3 linked regions of the Coturnix japonica genome follow. The protein of the gene in region 2 purifies or fractionates together with the protein of the main gene of each other region. This does not show direct contact. Links are inferred from orthologs where the notes say so. Each region holds a gene or a part of one and is shown on either strand. Other genes may lie near its edges.

What was found. The genes of interacting proteins can lie anywhere in the genome.
Region 1: the proteins of ARHGEF7 (region 2) and GIT2 purify together in Homo sapiens (affinity purification with mass spectrometry; 6 studies listed by BioGRID and IntAct, counting the BioPlex papers as one, with this or other methods). This does not show direct contact. The link is inferred for Coturnix japonica from reciprocal best matches to the Homo sapiens genes ARHGEF7 and GIT2.
Region 3: the proteins of ARHGEF7 (region 2) and NCK2 purify together in Homo sapiens (affinity purification with mass spectrometry; 3 studies listed by BioGRID and IntAct, counting the BioPlex papers as one, with this or other methods). This does not show direct contact. The link is inferred for Coturnix japonica from reciprocal best matches to the Homo sapiens genes ARHGEF7 and NCK2.

What each region holds. Positions count from the first base shown.
Region 1 is NC_029530.1:5,995,486-5,999,051, forward strand, and holds part of GIT2 (ARF GTPase-activating protein GIT2), read right to left. Parts: intron 805-3,566; coding exon 732-804; intron 418-731; coding exon 320-417; intron 39-319; coding exon 1-38. UniProt on the Homo sapiens protein: GTPase-activating protein for ADP ribosylation factor family members, including ARF1.
Region 2 is NC_029516.1:125,506,992-125,511,139, reverse strand, and holds the start of ARHGEF7 (rho guanine nucleotide exchange factor 7), read right to left. Parts: upstream 2,816-4,148; 5' UTR 2,648-2,815; coding exon 2,483-2,647; intron 1-2,482. UniProt on the Homo sapiens protein: Acts as a RAC1 guanine nucleotide exchange factor (GEF) and can induce membrane ruffling. Functions in cell migration, attachment and cell spreading. Promotes targeting of RAC1 to focal adhesions. May function as a positive regulator of apoptosis.
Region 3 is NC_029516.1:122,088,836-122,092,401, reverse strand, and holds part of NCK2 (cytoplasmic protein NCK2), read right to left. Parts: intron 3,324-3,566; coding exon 3,129-3,323; 3' UTR 1-3,128. UniProt on the Homo sapiens protein: Adapter protein which associates with tyrosine-phosphorylated growth factor receptors or their cellular substrates. Maintains low levels of EIF2S1 phosphorylation by promoting its dephosphorylation by PP1.

The DNA.
Region 1 (3,566 bases), on a different chromosome or scaffold from region 2:
AACTCATGAGCATTAAACCGAGCCAGCTTCTGTCTTCCCTAAATTAGAGAATAATATTTATAAAATTAATAAGTGTGTCATATACTAAATGAACAGCACAGTTTCCAGGCAAAACAAAGACTACAGCAGTTACAGTGAGCTGACTGTTCAATTTAAACATCTGCAGAACTCGAGGGAAGAGACGATGCAAAACAGTTTTTATGCTCTTCACAAGCAGTTGTAACTCTTTTACAATAATAAAGTACAGTAGAGCAATATTGTTTAGAATAACAGGCTTATTAAACAAGAATAGTTTTGTAGTACTAAGGAGATCACGTACCTGATTCCTGGTTGAGGAATATTCAGGATTTACAGGAAGAAAAGGGACCACTGTGGTCTCTGTCACGAGAGTACTATGATTCTGAGTAGCAAGCCAAACTGCTCAAGGAAGGGGAAAGAAATAATAACAAAGGATTAAACTGCCTGTGTAATTTGGTAATGATTTTGTCAAAGAAACAAAAAACACAATTCCAAGAACAAAAATCAATCAATTCAACCAAAGATGTTTTTCCCCTCCCCCAGACGTCTCTTTACTTTGATAAAATAAAACTAACCAAATAAAAAACACTTAAATGAGCATGAAGAGAAGGCAATAGAAGAAACTACCACTATCAGTAATTACTTAACACATGCTTGCAACTAGTATCATCTTTGTGATGTAACAGTTCATGTTTGATACAAATTCCGCTCACCTGCATCTGTTTCCCTCCTGTCAACTTCATCATACACATCCATGGCAAGTTCTTCAAATAAGTGGTTGCTTAGCTAGGGGTAGAAAAATTACAACTGAAAATCAAACCGAACCTATTAAGATTTCTGTAATACTGAAAATAGAAGTGCATAACTTTGCTCTCCGTTGGCACTCTTCCAGCCCCAAAACTACATAGGCTGAGAAGCAAGCAGTTAAGTTAAACACAAAGCAGGTGTAAGTCACAGAGCAGCCCTGCTGGCAGGGGACCTGCCAAAGATGAGGGAATTGAGTGTATGCTCAGTAAGTTTGCAGGTAACACCAAGTTGGGAGGTGGTGTTGATTTGCCTGAAGGTAAGGAGGCCCTACCTGGAATGGCCTGGCCAGGGAGGTGGTGGAGTTGCCATCCCTGGCAGTGTTCAAGAAGCGTCTGGATAGGGAGCTAGGAGATATGGTTTAGTGGTTTTCTGTAGGTATGGTAAAGGGAGGATGGTTGGACTAGATGCCCTTGTAGGTCCTTTCCAACCTTGTGATTCTATGATTCTAGGACACATGTTGGTGCTGGGCTGTTGGCTGGGGTCAACCCACCCCAACCTGCAAAAATACAAAGCAGGAATCTATCTACTTGTAGCTAGCTATGCATTTAAATTAACTACTACCAGCATGTTAAAATACACATTGCTGAATAGAAACAGTATCATCACAGTTGTGCTTCCTCCTGACACGAGTTCTCATCTTTTGATCCAATTTGCTTCAGTTAAAAGCTTTTTCCCTAATCTAACTTGTGTAAGGATTTGGTCACACACACCTTAGTAACACTAAGTTACTAAGTTGGAGTTCTGTGTGCGTTCACGTGGCCATGATCTCATTGCCATCACGGAGACGTGGTGGGACAGCTCGCATGACTGGAATGTTGTCTTGGAGGGCTATGTGTTTTTTAGGAAAGATCGGCTGGCAAGGCGGGGTGGTGGAGTTGCTCTTTATGTGAGAGAGCAGCTAGAATGTATTGAACTCCACCTGGGGGAGAGTAATGTAGAAGTCAAGAGCTTGTGGGTGAGAATCAAGGGCCAGGCTGGCAGAGGGGACACTGTTGTGGGTGTGTACTACAGGCCTCCTGATCAGGAGGAGGAGGTTGATGAGGCCTTCCATAAGCAACTGGAAGTAGCGGCACACTCCCAGGCACTGGTACTTATGGGGGATTTCAATTATCCAGATATTTGCTGGACGACCAACATGGCCAGGCATGCGCGGTCCAGACAATTCTTGCAGTGCATTTAAGACAACTTCCTGATGCAGGTGGTAGAGGAACCAACGCGGGGTGGGGCATTGCTGGACCTTATTCTCACCAATAAGGAAGGACTTGTTAAGGAAGTAAAAGTTGGGGGCAGCTTGGGATGTAGTGACCATGAGATGGTGGAGTTCGAGATCCTGAGTGGAGGAAGCAAAGCAAAAAGTAGGATTGCTACCCTGGACTTTAGGAGAGCCAAACTTGATCTCCTTTGGGACCTACTTGGGGCTATCCGTGGGCCAGGGTGCTAGAAGGCAAGGGGGCCTGTGAGAGCTGGTTAGCGTTTAAACGGCTCTTCTTCCAAGCTCAGGATCGGTGCGTCCCTGTGACTAAGAAATCGGGAAAAGGTGCAAGGAGACCTGCGTGGATGAGTAAGGAGCTCATGTGCAAGCTCCGCGGAAAGAAGAAAGTACATGATATGTGGGAAAAGGGGTCTGACCACTTGGGAAAATACAAGAAGTAGTCAGTGACTGCAGAGATGCGACCAGGAAGGCCAAGCCCACCTGGAGTTGAAATCTAGCTAAGGAGATAAAGAATAAATAAAAAAGGCTTTTTAAAACTACGTTAACAGCAAAAGGAAGGCTAGGGAGAATGTGGGCCCCATACTAAGTGAGGGGGGGCGCTCTGGTAATAGGGGATGCTGAGAAGGCGGAAATACTGAACGCCTTCTTTGCTTCTGTCTTTAGTGAAAGGGCTCTCCCTCAGGAATCCCGGACTCTGGAGGTTGATGAGAGAGTCCGGGGAATGGGAGATTTCCCTTTAGTCAGGGAAAGAGGTGGTCCGTGAGTGCCCTAGGAAACATTAAGGTCCATAAATCCATGGGACCTGATGGGGTGCATCCGCGGGTGCTGAGAAGCGCTGGCGGAGGTCTCTGGCTGAGCTGCTCTCTGTAATCTATCAGAGGTCTTGGAGAACTGGGGAGGTGCCTGAAGACTGGAGGACGGCCAGTGTCACTCCTGTCTTCAAAATGGCAAGAAGGAAGACCCGGGTAATTATAGGCCAGTCAGCCTCACCTCTGTCCCAGGGAAGGTGATGGAACAGCTTGTGCTGGATGCCATCTCCAGACAAACTGGGTGATAAGGAGGTTATCAGGAGTAACCCAGCAATGGGTTCACCAAGGGGAGGTCGTGCTTGACCAACCTGGTGGCCTTTTTATGAAGATGTCACCTAGCTGGGTGGACAGTGGGAGGGCGGTAAGATGTAGTCCTACCTTGATTCAGTAGGCTTTTGATACTGTCCCCCATGACATCCTTATAACAAAGCTGAAGAAGTATGGGACAGATGATTGGACAGTGAAGTGGGTCGAGAATTGGCTGACTGGCAGAGTGCAGAGGGTTGTCGTTGGCGGTGCGGTGTCTGGCTGGAGGCCTGTAACTAGCAGCGTCCCCCAGGGGTTTGTACTGGGTCCGGTCTTGTTCAACATCTTCATCAACGACCTTGATGAGGGGATAGTTTGTGATGTGAAAAGAAAGTACAGCATAGGAAGTTTTGTGCGGAAGAACTTCTTTACAGTGAGGGTGACGGAGCACTGGAACAGGCTGCACAGGGAGG
Region 2 (4,148 bases):
AAGGAGTTGAGGGTTTGGGCAGGGGGAGGTGGCAGTCTTTGCTTTTGCCCTGTTATAGAATCACAGAATTACAGGGGTTGGAAGGGACCTCCAGAGATCAAGTCCAACCCCCCAGTTACAGTTCCCTACCATTTATTCTAGTTGTATACCAGTGTATGTTTATTCCCAGTTTTGAAAGGTCAGTTCAGCAATAAAGTACTGACGTTCAGGTTAATTTCAAGAGATTTGGTGTATCTTCTCGGCTACTGCTGAACTACTGACCATTACTGCTTAAAACTGACCATTCTATGATGATTCTATGACATCTTCTGAAACTTTCTAGAATACTTAAAAATGCTAATCCTGATCTTGTGCATGTCGTATATGAAAATGGATGGATGCATAGGAAATTGAAGAAGGAAAGCAAATACAAAATTACTCATGAGGATTCAGGAGCACCTACTGGCATCATCAGCACTGCATTACTCTACTGTATGTGCATAGTTAAATAAACAACTCTAAAACAAGTATCCTTAGCTCTGCTCACCTTGATAGCGGACCAGAGTCAACAGGAAAAGCTGAACACAGTTGCAGACACTTCTAAATTCATTGTTGGTTGCAGGCAACTGCTCTGCCTTCTGCCCCTTTCCCATGTTACAAAACTGTTCACCAGGACCATTGCTCTGCACAATCCTGCCTGATTTTACCTCCTCGTGGCCACTCTTCAGAAGCAAGAGATGCAATGCATAGTAATGCTGCCTTCCAACTCGCTCTCATTCACAGCTCCTGGAATCGGATGAATTGAATACCTGTCTGCTGCTCAAGACAGGCAACTGTTCTGTAAACAAATGGAGCCAGTGCTTCCTGACAAGGAGTTACCCAGCACAAATACAGCACACGAACACAGTGTAATCTACAAGGAAGGACACCGACCAGCCCAGAGTTGGACTGGGACACAAGTCTGTGAGACTTTCAAAGGCACCTTTGGGCTAGAAAGCACAATGAGAAAGGCCAAGAACTACATATAGGTCTGCTCACAAAACAAAGAAATCAGTAAATACACAGAGCTCTAGCAGAGGGCTGGACACAGGCTGGCTGGGGTAGGTGGCAGGCTGAAAGACCTTCTCCCCTCTGCCAGCCATCCCAGCCCATCACCACCCTCTGCACAACCCTGCACTATTTGGCTTATCCCTGTATGGCAGATTGGATAAAAGCACCCCACTGTCAGCTCCCGAGGGAAGCTGTGCTCCTGCACAGCCTCCCCTTAGGTTTGGGATTGGGAAGGGACCCTAGTATCACAAGCATTGCCTCCTTTGACACAATAACAAGAGCACGCCTCTCCTTCCCATCAAAGCCACTCCTAGCTGCACCGTACACAGAAGCACGTGAAGTTGGGAAACGCTTTCCTGCTACTTATTTCCATCACTCATCTCTATTTCAGTGCGCCTGCAGCAGAACCTGTTCCCTACTCCATCTCAGGACCCCATCATCCTCCCAGGCTTGCCAGAAGTGCATGGACAGCCCTGCGTTGCTGTAATGCTCAGCACCCAGCTCCATGGGGCTCTGGAGACCAGAGGTTGGGAGGCACAGCAAGACAGGCTGGGAAACCACCACGGCTGTCATGCAGATGGAAGGATGCACCAACAAACTATTCCTGAGGAGGGTCTGCGCCCCACTGTGTGACTGGTGCCAAGGAATGGACACGCATTATTTCCAGCTGCATCTCACACATAGAATAACAGAACCACAGGGGTCAGGAGGGACCTCTGAAGATCATCAAGTCCAACCCCTGCTAAAGCAGGTTCCCTAGGGGAGGTCACACAGGACATTCAGGTGGGTTCTGAGTCATTCAAGAGAAGGAGACTCCACACTCTCTCTGTGCAGCCTGCTCCAGGCCATGGCTGTCCCAGCCAGCTGTCCCCGTTGTTACTCAATACTCCTGTGTCATTTCCATAACACCTGTGAGCTCCGGGGTCATTTCCACATCCCCCATTTGCTTGCAGTCCATGAGGACAGCACCAAGTCACCAAACAGAGCAGGGTGGACAACAGCACAAAGCGGTGACAGCCACAACCTGTGGGGAACTAAGGACCCTGCTCCAAACCCAGCACCCTACAGAGCTCAAAGGTTTCCAACTCTGAGGCTCAAGAAAGACACACACACGGCAGGTGACCACAGCCACCTGCCAGGTGACCTTCAACAGTCACCAGCAAGATGGGGAAAGTTGGTTCCATGAGGTGTGCCGGCACACGGAGGCCCCCAGAAAGCCAAAATAAAGCAAGCAAGCAGGACAACAGCCCGCATTACAAGGAAATTCAATTGAACGTTAGGGGCGGACGCGGGGCTCAGGGAGCGCTTTTTGTTCCCTCCCGCCGCTTCCATCCTCCTCGGGAGGAACTCGGCACCGAATCTCCGGGGTCCCCAAGGCGGAGGCCGCCGCCGCCGTGCCCCCCGCGCCATGCCGCCGCCCCCGGCCTGACAAAGCCCGCTGCCCCCGACTCACTTTCTCGATGGATCCCGGCAGCAGGCGCTCGAGCAGGCGGCACAGCACCACGCCGTCCTTCAGGGAGGACTGCAGGAAGCCCTCGGGGTCGGCGATGCTCTTCTTGGGCGACTCCAGCACGCCCAGGGCGATCAGCCACGTAACGGTCTGCTCGGCCGAAGTCATGGCCGCGCGGAGCTGGGTTGGAGGGGAGGGGGGTGAGGGGGGGGCGGCTTTATGGGATCGCTGTCTCCCCTCCCCGGGCGGGGGTTTCAGGCCGAGGCCCCCGCCTCCCCCATGTGAATGCGGATGACGACGCCCCGCCACACACACACACACTCACACATATACACACACACACACACACACACATGCAGCCGCAGAGCCGCCTCCTCCCCGCCCCGTGACGGCACGGGGCTTGCGCGCCCGCGGAGCCCCCCCCCCTCCCGCACCCGCGGAGCCGGACCGGGCGGTGGCTGCCCCCCGGCGGCACGAGCGACGCGGAGGTTCCGCGGGTGCGGAGCGCTGGGGGAGCCGCCCGGCTCCGCAGGCTGCGTGCGGCGGGGCCTGTGCTGCACGGGGACAGCGGGATGAGGCGGGAGGGTGATCGGGATCGATGCGTTGGTGTGAGCGCGGTGAGGCGCTGGAACGGGTTGCCCACAGAGGATGTGTGCGCCCCATCTCCGGAGGGATCCAAGGCCAGGTTGGATGGGGCTCTTAGGGCTGTTACTGCCTCGTCTGTCAGCCTCTCGAGCAGTGAGGAGGCACTCCAGATAGATGCACATTTCTGCCTTTGCCAAACCAGGGCTGGGATTTCAGTGGAGAGGAGACTGGTTGAACATTGGTCTGACCAGAAACCAGAGCTCCCATGCAGCAGGTAACTCTCACAGGAGGTTTGCCCTATGGAAGTTTACATCCTCCTGAGAAAACGTCTCATCCCCACAAAGCAATACTTCACATCAAACACACAGATTGTGGAATCGGAGGATGGCTCAGGTTGGAAGAGTCCTTAAATATCACTTCATTCCAAGCTGATTCATTCCAAGCCCTGTGCTCAGCTGCCCAGGGTTCCATCCAACCTGGCTTTGAGCCCCTCCAGGGAAGGGGCACCACAGCTTACAGCCAGCCAGCCAGAGATACTCGGGGGATAGCGGGTGCTCTCCTCCTAAGCACTCAAACCTTCTCCAGCTACAATAGAATCATAGAAGTTGGAAAAGACCACGAGTCCAACCTCAACCCACCCCCACCCCCTGGTGCCCACTGACTATGTCCCTCAGTGCCACACTACCTCACGGCAGGTGCTGTTAGAACCGTGCCAAAGCAGAAATGCTGTCACTGGGTCAGATCACTGTTGAAAGTTCTGTTAATGTCTTCTTCATTTTGTAGGGCAATGAAGGCAACTCACAGTGTTATATCCTTGCAGCATTTGTCACTTTTACCCCGGCTGTGTTCTTTGGATGGAAGTGCCCTCAGAGAGCTCTGGCAGGTCTGCCACAGCCCCAAGTGTAGCCCTGCTTCTGTACTCCTGAGACCATCGGTGCAACAGCTGCACCAGCTTTGTCTTCTAAGTGCAGCTTGGGTTAATGGCATTGATCCGTTGCGTTCTTTATTCTCCCAGAAACCAATAATGAGCATTCTGCTTGAGGCGGAGATGAATATAGAAGCACAGTCCTCGCCTGGTCTACAT
Region 3 (3,566 bases), about 3.4 Mb from region 2:
TCCAGAAAACGAGGTCAAAAAGGCAGTAAAACTTGCAGAAACCTATCTTAATTAGCAAGGACTGGGAACAACTGAAGACCTATTAATGAGCCTGCTGAATAGACTGCATGTTGATTAAATACGGAGTGGGCAAAAACAAGATGAAGCTTGTTTCAAAAAAAAATAATTCAAGCTAGTTGTTCATAAGGCTGGATCATAAATTAACGTTAGTTACTGCTTCCAAACAAAATACTCCAGTGGTTGGCGCCTCTATATTCAGAAGCTGTTCACAAGGCAAGAGGTGGAAGAAAAAAATAAAAGGATTGTAAATCCCTTAGAATATCGAGCATATGGTAAAAATCTCACTTGGAGGTCTATTTGATTTAGTTCTAATCTATCAAGACTAGAAAGGGGTTCGGAACTTTCAGTGGAAAAAAGAAAAGCAAAATAGGAAACGCACAGCAAGAGGCATAGAAAGACTCTTGGAACACAAAATACAGTGAATGTTTCAGAAAAATGAACATGGGGCAACATGAAAGAGTAACTGTAGTTGTTGATTTACTGAAAAACATTCCCACGTACCACTTTTTGAAACACTACAAAGAGGCAATGGGACTGAAAAGCAACTCACTCCGAACTGAAAACACACAGCATGTAGTTGGCTTTCTTAATGTCTTTGTCATACTCAAGGTACATGCTTACATTGAGCTAAATGAGTAACTAGATATTACACAGCAAAAGCCCTATGGCCTCTGCAGAACTCACTTAAAAGGTTAAGAAGAAACCAACTGTGATGTCCTGGCAAGAAGGATGTAAACAAGGGGCACTTCTCAGCAACTCCATAATGAAAATTTCTCTGCTCCCATAATCTAGCCATGGGTATGTTCTTGCCAGGATGAAGAAGAGTGATTGTTCTGGTCTGTCTTATATAACTACCCTTATTCACAAAGCTGGACCATGCAGAAGTTTCAGTGCCCGATTTTTGTTTACCCACATACAGTTGTTAATTCATACACAGTTCTAATCCAGATAATCTCACAGAAATAAGAGCAGCTGTGGAAGAATAACATGTGTATAACTCATGAAGTTGTACGTTGGTTGCTCTGAAAGTAATGCCTCGATTTACTTCCATCGAAACTACCACAGATACAAAGAGCACAATAACACTATTTGATAGAACAAATTCTCAGCTACAAAACACTCTTTTTCAACAGTCATCACCATCAGCTATGCATTTTTGCCAGCGATGAACAAGAGCCTGCATGCCACACTCATAAAAATCTGCATGGCCATCCAGAACATGGCTTGTCTTTCATGTTGCTGTCACCACTGCTGAAATGCACCACCCACCGCCTCACTGTGCTCACATCCACTGTCTGGTCTCCATTAAGTTCCAGCAAATGATGATGAATGTCAATGGGTGCCATTTTTTTCTGCATGGAGGAATTCAACTAGACACCTTTGTTTCATACACACTTTCATGTCAGACATCATTGCATCAGAGTGCTGCCATCTGTCACACAGCAGCAAAATGTTACAGAATGTTGGTGGGAATGCTCAGCCCCTACTACCGTCCTACTAATATCCACCTCTGACTTCATAATAATAAATAGGAGACATTACTTTCAGAGCAGCCCTCAGCTGGTGCTTGTTCTGCCTACACTGGAGTTATGCATGTATCACCACTGGCTGAAATACAAAAATCTGTAAGGAAGACTTAATAGCAAAAAAAGGTCCCATAAAAGAGCTCCATCTTGCAGTTTTCATTAAAGCTATAAACAAATCACAGAGAGAATCAATGTGGAGCTCATTAGACACCGCCTCGTATCAACCTGAACTCTGCAGTGGCACATATTTTCTTTGTAGGCCACACACATTCCAAGACAGGCAAATTCAGAATTTACTCTATTTGACCTTTCTAAAGCCACGCCAGAACTACCACCCAAGGATAAACCCAGTACTCCATCATGACATAATACCTTTTTTATTACAATATCCAAAAAACTGAGTACGCAAGATTTTGAGATCTCAAGATCCCTTCTTCAATCTCAGGAGTGTGCCATCTAAAGTCTGTATATTTAAACCATAAAGGAGTTTAAATGTAAAGAAAAGAGAAAAAAGCATTTTCTTCATAAACATTCTGTGTGTCTCTTCCTACCAATCACACCACCCTCCATAAAACCTGAAGTTTCCTTTCTGTAAAGCAAATATATATATAGTGTTGGTAGCCCACCCCACCCTGTCCCCTGATCAGTTTTTATTAATTTTCTGTATTAGTGTCAACAATCAGCTACAGATACATATTACTTTGAGAATTAAATACATAATTGTTTAATTCAAACAAGCAGAAGGGCAAGAGGAAAAAAGCATTATGTGGATGGCACATTTGGTTGTAGATTACCAGAACATTCAGTCTTTACAATTCAATGATTCTCTCTTTAGTAATCAACTTTCAAATAAAATTTCTCTTTGTTGCAATTACAGACCAAAATACACTAGATAGTTTTCTTTTACTACAATCTTACCATAGTAGTTTAAGAAGTACTATTACAAAACGCTTTAATTAGTGTACTCTTTGCAAAGAGTCAGAGAGGCAATGTAATAGCAGAGTACAGTGTAAAGAGTGCTTCTAGGAACTAGGAGTTTTTGTAATATACTACCTGGTAAGCAATATAGCTACAGAACTCACAGCCACAACTGTTATGTCTACTATATCTCACTTACTTAGCTGCAGCCTCAGTGCATTCAAACTGTGCCCGATGTCTCTTAACAAAGAGTTCTGTCTGTCTGCGTGAGCAATTTGAACAGGTTAACACTGGGTTGAATTGCAAACCCCCCTCCTTTATCCGAGCTAAGTATGTAAACGTACACAGAAGAGGGGAGTTTAGAACTCGGACATGGAAGTGAGTGCTTACAATGGCCACAGAGGTGAACTTCTCAACCTGAAGGGAGGTGATCTGAGATTAACAGAACTGAAACACAAAAGTAGGCAAACGAAAAAGGACAAATAACAACCAACAGAGCAAACACGTTAGAAAGAGCCTACTCTTTAAGCCTGCTTCGGATATTGCTCTGCTCTATAAAAGTGATTTTAGGACCTAAGGCTTGGAAGTTAGAAGGGGCCTGGGTGGCCAAGTCCATCTTCATCGTCACTGAAGTGCTTTCACAAGATATAGCTTTTCCCCGTGTTCACTGGTGAAGATGGGTGCCTTTTTGTAGTGTTCCACCAACTCATCCATAGTATTAAAGCGACGCTGCCCAATACAATAGACATTGTCCACGAGCTGCACCTTGAAATGTTTGTTCTTCCCCGATGCTTTTAGAGATACCGAGAAGTCACTGGGCTGTTGGGAATAATTCAAAAAGAAAAAGAAAGAGTTACATAAAAGTGAACAAAAAGAAGGCACAGTATGGTGGTTTCAAGAACAAACTGAAATACAGCTGACAGCGTAATTTGTGTTAGTCTTTGTTCCACAGCTCAGTGCCTCAGCTACTTAAGAAACCCAATAGTCTATTATTCAATAAATAATTGCCATCGTGCACAGTTAAGTCATTTAAGTGAAGCTCCCCAGATGCATAGTCTGAAG